Linked DNA regions of Xenopus tropicalis. The main gene of each other region encodes a partner of the protein of the gene in region 2 in a complex. Links are inferred from orthologs where the notes say so. Each region holds a gene or a part of one and is shown on either strand. Other genes may lie near its edges. The genes, in order: dbn1 and zmynd8.

Region 1 (4,369 bases), on a different chromosome or scaffold from region 2:
AAGTCAGGTAAGAGGTTGTGGGGCAGGCACTGGACAGTCATTCTTACCCTTTAATGTGAGGTCTGCCCCTTTAAGGTGGCTTGACTTCACAATTAGCACCAGACACTCCTGCCACCAGGAACTATGGATCTGAGTGCTTTTGTAACACACATTTTTAGAGGTTTCCCCACATTAAAGGGTAAGAAATGTCACTCCACCAGCAATGAACGCAGTAGTGAAAAAGAAAATAAGTGGTGAGTATGAAGAGGTACTGAGAAGCATATGAGCAAAGTCATGTTATACCAAATATTAATGCAAAAGTTGGATATAACATTCATCATTAGTGCTTTTCAAACTTTCCATGTAATGAGCCACTGTCTGTTATACCTACACTGCAATCTATAGAATTTCCAAAACTATCCTTAAAAGTCTCCACTTGGTGGGTGCCCTGTATGGTGAGGCAGGTTGTGGCACAGGCGCTGAGGAGTCAGGTAAGAGGTTGTGGGGCAATGATGTCAGAGGGTACAGACACTGGCAGCCAGGTGAGGGGGTTCAGGCGCCGGGCAGCCAGGTGAGGGGGTTCAGGCGCCGGGCAGCCAGGTGAGGGGGTTCAGGCGCCGGGCAGCCAGGTGAGGGGGTTCAGACGCTGGGCAGTCACATGAGTATAACAGGCAGTAGATGGTGCAACTATGAGCAGTGGATATAGGGAGATGTATGTCTTTGGAGGAAATTGTGGAAAACAGAACAAAAAAGAACAGCTACCAGAGAAGGGAAAAGGGGAAAAGACAAAGAGATTAATACAAAGAGGTTAGGGAAGGAAAGATGAGGTAATCCAAAGAAAAACCGAGATTGAGAGCCAAGAACACAATTCACAGGACAAAGCCGGCCAAAAGCGTTAGTAACTAGATCTGCATCATGCCTTCAGCTAACACCCACAGATTCCTTGCACAGAGAATATCTTTTTCTACGTCCAGCTCTCCCATCCCCAGGTATGCGTGCCCCCCTTACCCACCTCATTAACCCCTGAATTCCCCTAATCCCCCCATGAAGCTGGTACAATCCTGTGAGCTGATCTCAACCATTTTTTTCACATGCTGTAATCATTTGTCTGATCTCACCCTGGCAGACTTCCCCACCCTCCCCCCAACCCTAACAGATTCTGTATAGACCCACCCAAATGTAAGTTCTCAATGTCTCCCCAAGGTCTCCTCCCACTTGTACCCCCCAAAAAAAAGCTCAGATAACATGAAAAACGAAATATGTTCTCTCTCTTCAGTCCTGTGACCCACCCTCCCTTCTCACCAGTAATGTGCTCCAATTCCCTTTCTACTGAAGGCGAGACACAAAGAAACCTAGCTGACAATACACCCCCTTCAGCCCTTGTGCTCAGCATCCCAGCCTGTGTGGGCATCTGTGCATCAGGAAATGTGCCTGGCAATGCAGAACCCTGCTGCTTCATGCTGCCTGCAAAGCCCAGCACCCCATGCAGGAGCCAGCGTTTAGGAACAAGCCTGCAGGTCACAAGGGGGTGAACGATGAAGCAAAAATGAACGCAGTTCTCCGGACCTGAAAGATCAGTATGTGCCTTTCAGCCCTATGTTCTACTAGGAATCTCTAGCACGTACACATAACCTGAACAATACACTGTATCCAGCGACTACTCTGCACTTCCACTCATTGCAAACCTACACAGAACTCTGTGGCTAGACAATGAGAGCTGCTCAGTCTGTCTGTTGCCCATCTGCTATTCCCAGCATCCTCTAACAGCCAGAGGTTGAGATTGCTAGTTCAGTAAGAGCTGACATGTATGATAGATTGAACTGCACATTATACATTCAAGGTGGTTATGTCTTACACACAATTAAAACCTTCAGCGCACCCCTTCCTATTTCACTACGTACATCTGACCTTGCAGTTTCAGCATCCTCATGTGCCACACCCCTCTATTATGTGTCAGGCTTTACCCACTGCACCCCTTGAGCAGAGGCATCTGCACCCCACTCCCTTCCTTAATTCATTTAAGACCCCTCCCACCAGCAGACATAAAAGATGTGACCCACCAGAATAGAGTGCACTGGAAAGAAAGGTAATAAATGCTGATCTCCTAATTTGAACTAATCCATTCAACGCCAGTCCACAAGTGGGCATTACGGCAATGACTGGACCCAGCTCCAATATGCCGATAGGGTTAACATGTTATGCATTCAGCCTGCAGTAGAACAAGCCTTAATGGCCGGTGATATGTGGAGGTGTGGATGTGCACTGGGCTTTGTGTATTCTTGTCCTGCAGCCATCAGTGGCTATTCCCCTGCCTCCAAATGCCAATGTGCTTGCCACCCTACACTAGTTATCCCCCCAGCATCCAGTAATCTGTGCCACAGCTCTCAGCAATAGGCATGACTGGCTACCCCAGGCACCCCATTGGCATGCTAGGCGTGCTGCATCACTTGGTACCATCGCCAGCTGGCACTTAGCTCCAAGCACTGCTACATCAGTGCCACCACTGTGTGCCCTAAAGAAACTGCACCCCAATCACCTACACCTCACTCCTTAACTGGTACCATCGCCAACTGGAACATAGCAACATGCACTGCATACATCTGTCTCACCTCCATTGTGTGCTCTAGAACCTGCACCCCAATTCCCTGCACCCCGCTTACCAGTCAATGGAGTTCTGCTCCTCTATGACATCCTGATAGGCTGCCAGCAGCTCCGGGCGGTGGGGTTTGAAGCTAACGGAGGCCATGCCGGCTGCAGGCTCGCTGAGTGCCGGGGGATGGAGAGAGAAGGCAGCGGACTGAGGGAGGGAAGGAGAGGGATGGGGAGAGGAGGGCGCACTGACACACTGCAGCTGGGGAAGGGGAGGGACTGCGGCCATCGCTGAACCGCCGGGTCCTAAAGCTGCCAATACAATGTGCAACTGGCTCCTAAATCATGAGGAGACAGTCTGCGTGTGTGTGTGCGGCATTATAGCACTGAGAGCACTACAACTCCCAGCATCCTCCTAGAGTTTGTGGGAGGAGACTTGCATTTGTAGTTTAGCATGAACCTAAGGCACACAGGCTGGTAATATTGCTGCATCTCCCAGCTGTACCTCATGCAGGGAAACAGATTCAAACTGGATGTCCATCCAAATGGTTTTGCACAATGACACACTATATATCATTATAAGCTGCTTTCCAAAATACATCCAAGTTGCTCAATTAATGCATTGCTATTGAATGCTGTGCCTGTGTATAATATCTGCACTACTGGTTCTGACTCCTAAAAAAATAATAGATGAAGGCAGCTGATTAACAGACCCTGGAGGAGACCTGACTCCTGTAACAGTGTTTCAGCAGTCAGATCTAAGAAAAAAAGGGATAAATTAACAGTGCTTGCAATTACAATTAACTTTTAAAACCATTAAAAATGTTTAATAATATACTTATTTTGGCAAGTTGCTTAGAATTATATTTTATTTCATTATGAAAAAAACATTTTGGGGTGGAAATGTGCAATACGTTCTGTGAAATGAATTCCAGTGTTATGTAATATAATAGGTTACACATTAACATCAATAGTGGCACAAACCCTTTGGTATTGATCCAGGCTGCTGTTTGTTGTGAGCACATCAAGGGCTTCAGTACAGACTGGTAGGAGCATATCATGAACTTGTTATGGGCGAGTTATATACCAGGCATGGGGGTGGGGGTAAAAGGTAGTACATCTGTAGGAAGCATTTTCTCTAGGGCCTTAAAAGTCAATATTTAATTCTTGGAAAATGAGATCTCTGATGGCAGCCCTGCTTATAAAAGAAAGGGCAAACGGAACCAAAATAAGAATGCCGGTATGAATGTTTTTTTGCTGCCACTGGATGGTTAAAACGTCCTGCTACAGGAGACAAAATGACATTTACAGCAATACTGGCTACAAATCAGTAGCAGTCAAATAAATGGATATTTACGTGTCATGTGCAAAGCTTCCTTTTTACTTTTTATTATAATATATGCTTCCTGTAGGGCAACATTCATTTGATGTGCAGCCTGCACTTTAGTCCTTTATAAGCCTTCCCTATAAAATGCATGATATGGGGGTCAGCTTGGCATGCTCAGGGCTGTTCACTTTATGTCTCAATCCCATTCATCAAATCCATGTGCTGCAGGGCCCATTAGTAATCAGCACAAATGCATGCTGCAGACTGCACTGATTTCTCAATCACAGGATGTACCTGATAACGGATCAGCCAACCAGGATGCAGATTTATATGTGACAAATATTTAAAGGGGAACTGTCACTACATAAAAACAACTCCAGGTTGCAATGGACATTTCATAACTCTGATATTTGCTATAATATTCTTTTTCCTATAGTTTCTGTCTAGTTTTTGTTTATTAATGGACCCCCTCAA
Region 2 (3,820 bases):
CCAGCAGCATTTGGTATTGGTTGTTAGGCGTGTAAGGTGTCCGAAAAGGGGCGTAATTAAAAACCCCAAACCTCTTGCGGATGTTCTCCACATAGACCTCCATCTCCTGCATAGCACTGTTGAAAATGCTTTTTGTTTTCTTTACAGAGAAGGGGATCTCTTTAGACATGAGGTAGCAGTTATTCATTGGTACCCAGGCCCTGAAATCATTAAGAATCATGTTAAATAACTAACACATTTACATTAAAATGATACTAATGATCCCCTAACATTACACTAAATTAAGATTCATAAAACCTACATAATTAGAAAATCTATTGGGTTTTGTTTACTCCTCTATTGTTTAGCAATGTCTTTGGGACTCCTCCAGTTACATGGGAGTAGGAGAAACAATAGGTTACCTGAAAGCAGTTCTAATGTGTAGCGCTGGCTCCTTCTGAAAGCTCAGACTCAGGCACAATGCACTGAGATGGCGCCTACACACCAATATTACAGCTACAAATACATTTGTTCAAGAATAAAATTTTAAATGGTAGAGTGAATTATTTGCTATGAAAACAGTGTAATTTAGAAATAAAAAGTACCCCATAAAAATCATGACAGAATCCCTATAAATGATTTTCATATATGATCTGTGCCACTGTGACAGAATGCTCTGTTATACAGATAGCTAGAATCTCAGCCATAAAGCAGGGCAGGACTGCTGCTTACAATGGGTATCAGATAGGATCTGTGCCACTGTGACAGAATGCTCTGTTATACAGATAGCTAGAATCTCAGCCATAAAGCAGGGCAGGACTGCTGCTTACAATGGGTATCAGATAGGATCTGTGCCACTGTGACAGAATGCTCTGTTATACAGATAGCTAGAATCTCAGCCATAAAGCAGGGCAGGACTGCTGCTTACAATGGGGGGGGATCAGATAGGATCTGTGCCACTGTGACAGAATGCTCTGTTATACAGATAGCTAGAATCTCAGCCATAAAGCAGGGCAGGACTGCTGCTTACAATGGAGATCAGATAGGATCTGTGCCACTGTGAAAGAATGCTCTGTTATACAGATAGCTAGAATCTCAGCCATAAAGCAGGGCAGGACTGCTGCTTACAATGGGTATCAGATAGGATCTGTGCCACTGTGACAGAATGCTCTGTTATACAGATAGCTAGAATCTCAGCCATAAAGCAGGGCAGGACTGCTGCTTACAATGGGGATCAGATAGGATCTGTGCCACTGTGACAGAATGCTCTGTTATACAGATAGCTAGAATCTCAGCCATAGAGCAGGGCAGGACTGCTGCTTACAATGGGGGGATCAGATAGGATCTGTGCCACTGTGACAGAATGCTCTGTTATACAGATAGCTAGAATCTCAGCCATAGAGCAGGGCAGGACTGCTGCTTACAATGGGGGGATATATAAAGCCTTGCTAATAACCTGCTCCTTGTTTATGATCTGGTGTTTCTGAACATATTAGCATTATCAGAACACTGAGAACTGTTCTCCCACCTGTCATGCTGGCCGAAGAATCGTGCATCAACCTGTCCATCCTTATCTCTAAGTGCTTTTGCAGGCCAGAAGGGAAATCCTTTTAATTTTGCCCAGACCAATGGGTGTGGATTGCTCTAAAGAGAAAACCAGAAAGAGTTACATGATGTACAATCAGGAATCAGATCTATGTAATATTACTGTGGCACACAGCTGTCTGAATGTTCCATGTGACAGGCCGATCATCTAATATTTTACAAGTCTAGGGAGTTGGAGTATAGAAGTCAGTGTTGCCCTGGGCTGGCTGTGAGCCAGAAAAAAATTTCCAGTTGGATGGTCCTTTGGCAGCAGATCACAACACTTTCAAAAATATACAGTATCTATATTTTAAAATCACTAATAAAATATTAAAAAATATAATTTATTTTGCATAGACAATGCTGCAACAGGAACAAGTCTGCACAGAGTTTTACTTGTCTTCGCGGCCTGTACAGAGATACAGATATGGGACCTGTTATCCAGAATGTTCAGAACCTGGGGTTTTTTGGAAAAGGGATCTTTCCATAGTTTGGATCTTCATACCTTATGTCTATTAAAAAATCATTTAACTTTTAAATAAAGCCAATAGGATTGTTTTGCCTCCAACAAGGATAAATTATATTTTAGTTTGGATCAAGTACAAGGCACTATTTGGAGCCTAAGGGAGGTGGGTTTCCAAATAATGGATCCCATACCTCTACAATAAACTATGGCAGCATAGGTATTCCCCTGTACTAAGCACAATTCAGCAGGAACAGCCCCCTAAGTTTGCTCATAGCCTGTACAGAGAGATACCATAAAACTATGGCAGCGTAGGGATTCCCCTGTACTAAGCACAATTCAGCAGGAACAGCCCCCTAAGTTTGCTCATAGCCTGTACAGAGAGATACCATAATACTATGGCGCCTTTAGTGATATCTCCCCTGAGATCTGATTTGTAAGCAACAGATAACAGATCAAAGCTGCCGGTGAAAGAAGTCTCAGTAGGATAAAAGACAAATTAAAGTGACTAAGGATAGTGTAACGCCCAGTGTCCTATTCATAAACAAACATAATACTTACACAGGGTTCACAAAACCAATTCTCTCTTTTTTGGCAAGCAGCTAAATAACATTCAGGACAGACTTCAATTTCATTCATCTAGGAAGGAATCAATAGAATGAGGTTAGTATCGAGATGTTACCAATTGTAAAAACAATGCTGTGCAGCTGGGGGTGTATGTTGATATCTTCAGCATCCCATGAATGAGCAACTGTCATCTTTATTGGCCCTTATACAGAACAGTACAGTACAAAGATGGCAGTTTTTGTCTGTGCACCGAAATTCTCTCTGTTTGTATATGAATATATTTAAACATATGGGTGCGAGCTGCCAATTGTTTCACTTGTACTTAATGTGATTTGGGAGACTTTGCCGACATTGTTACATGTCAACTGCTCCCTCTACCTTTTGACTGCAAGCGCATGTGAGTAGGGACCTCACATTAATTATTATAATGTGATGTGTAACTTGGCGGCACTATATAAATAAATGATCATGATAACATGGACATCTTCTAACTTGGCTCTAGCAGAAATAATCACTGATACATTGTTACACTTTACACAGTTCCACTACTGAACACCAGGTGGCGAAAAATTAATTCACTAACAAATTGCTGCTCTTTGCAGAGCGATGTAGAGCCAAATATAAGCATGAAGGTGCTCCTGCAGCCCTGTTGTATGATCCCCAACACCTGCCAGACTCCAATGGATAATTCCAGCAGGCAGAAAAATCACTAGCAATGGTTTGTGAGTAGTCTATGTAATCATGAAAGTTACTCTCACGCTCTACATTTCATTTACAATCAAGTACCAGCCTCCAATATGTAGCCACACTGTATAACACAACCAACAACACAACCAACAACAGGCAAAGGAAAGTCCATTTATAGGTAGTGTTTGTATTTATTTACTTTGAGTGAAGCAAGTGGACTTCTCTGTATACTGTTATTCCTACACAAGGGTAGGAGCTGCCATATTGTTTGCCACAGACAGTACAGTATGAGGGTATAACTTTTATGAAGAATCACATTTTTCAACATTTTTTTAACATTTTTCACCTTCTGCTGTTCTTATATTAGTCCACAGGTAACTTTTAGGGCTCTGGCACACAGGGAGATTAGTCGCCCGCGACAAAACTCCCTGTTCGCGGGCGACTAATCTCCCCGGATTGCCATCCCACCGGCGAAAATGTAAGTCGCCGGTGGGATGGCACATGCTGCGCAGGCGATTTTGGCAAATCGCCGAAGTTGCC

The links.
Region 1: the proteins of zmynd8 (region 2) and dbn1 are in contact, whole or in part, in a crystal structure (PDB 5Y1Z), measured with the Homo sapiens proteins. The link is inferred for Xenopus tropicalis from reciprocal best matches to the Homo sapiens genes ZMYND8 and DBN1. Residues at the interface, in NP_001350670.1 of Homo sapiens: Gln167, Pro168, Gly169, Thr170, Gln236, Ile237, Val240, Lys243, Ile244, His247, Trp269, Leu285, Gly287, Phe288, Phe307, Gly309, Gln310, His311, Asp312, Ala314, Thr335, Lys336, Ser337, Ile338; in NP_004386.3 of Homo sapiens: Met1, Ala2, Phe6, Ser7, Arg10, Leu11, Leu14, Tyr17, Glu18, Asp92, Ala93, Cys96, Ala97, Ala99, Ser100, Lys104, Glu107, Phe108, Gln110.

Annotation. Positions count from the first base shown.
Region 1 is NC_030679.2:45,916,651-45,921,019, forward strand, and holds the start of dbn1 (drebrin), read right to left. Parts: upstream 2,911-4,369; 5' UTR 2,858-2,910; coding exon 2,640-2,857; intron 1-2,639. UniProt on the Homo sapiens protein: Actin cytoskeleton-organizing protein that plays a role in the formation of cell projections. Required for actin polymerization at immunological synapses (IS) and for the recruitment of the chemokine receptor CXCR4 to IS.
Region 2 is NC_030686.2:37,276,076-37,279,895, reverse strand, and holds part of zmynd8 (protein kinase C-binding protein 1), read right to left. Parts: intron 2,666-3,820; coding exon 2,588-2,665; intron 1,624-2,587; coding exon 1,508-1,623; intron 201-1,507; coding exon 1-200. UniProt on the Homo sapiens protein: Chromatin reader that recognizes dual histone modifications such as histone H3.1 dimethylated at 'Lys-36' and histone H4 acetylated at 'Lys-16' (H3.1K36me2-H4K16ac) and histone H3 methylated at 'Lys-4' and histone H4 acetylated at 'Lys-14' (H3K4me1-H3K14ac).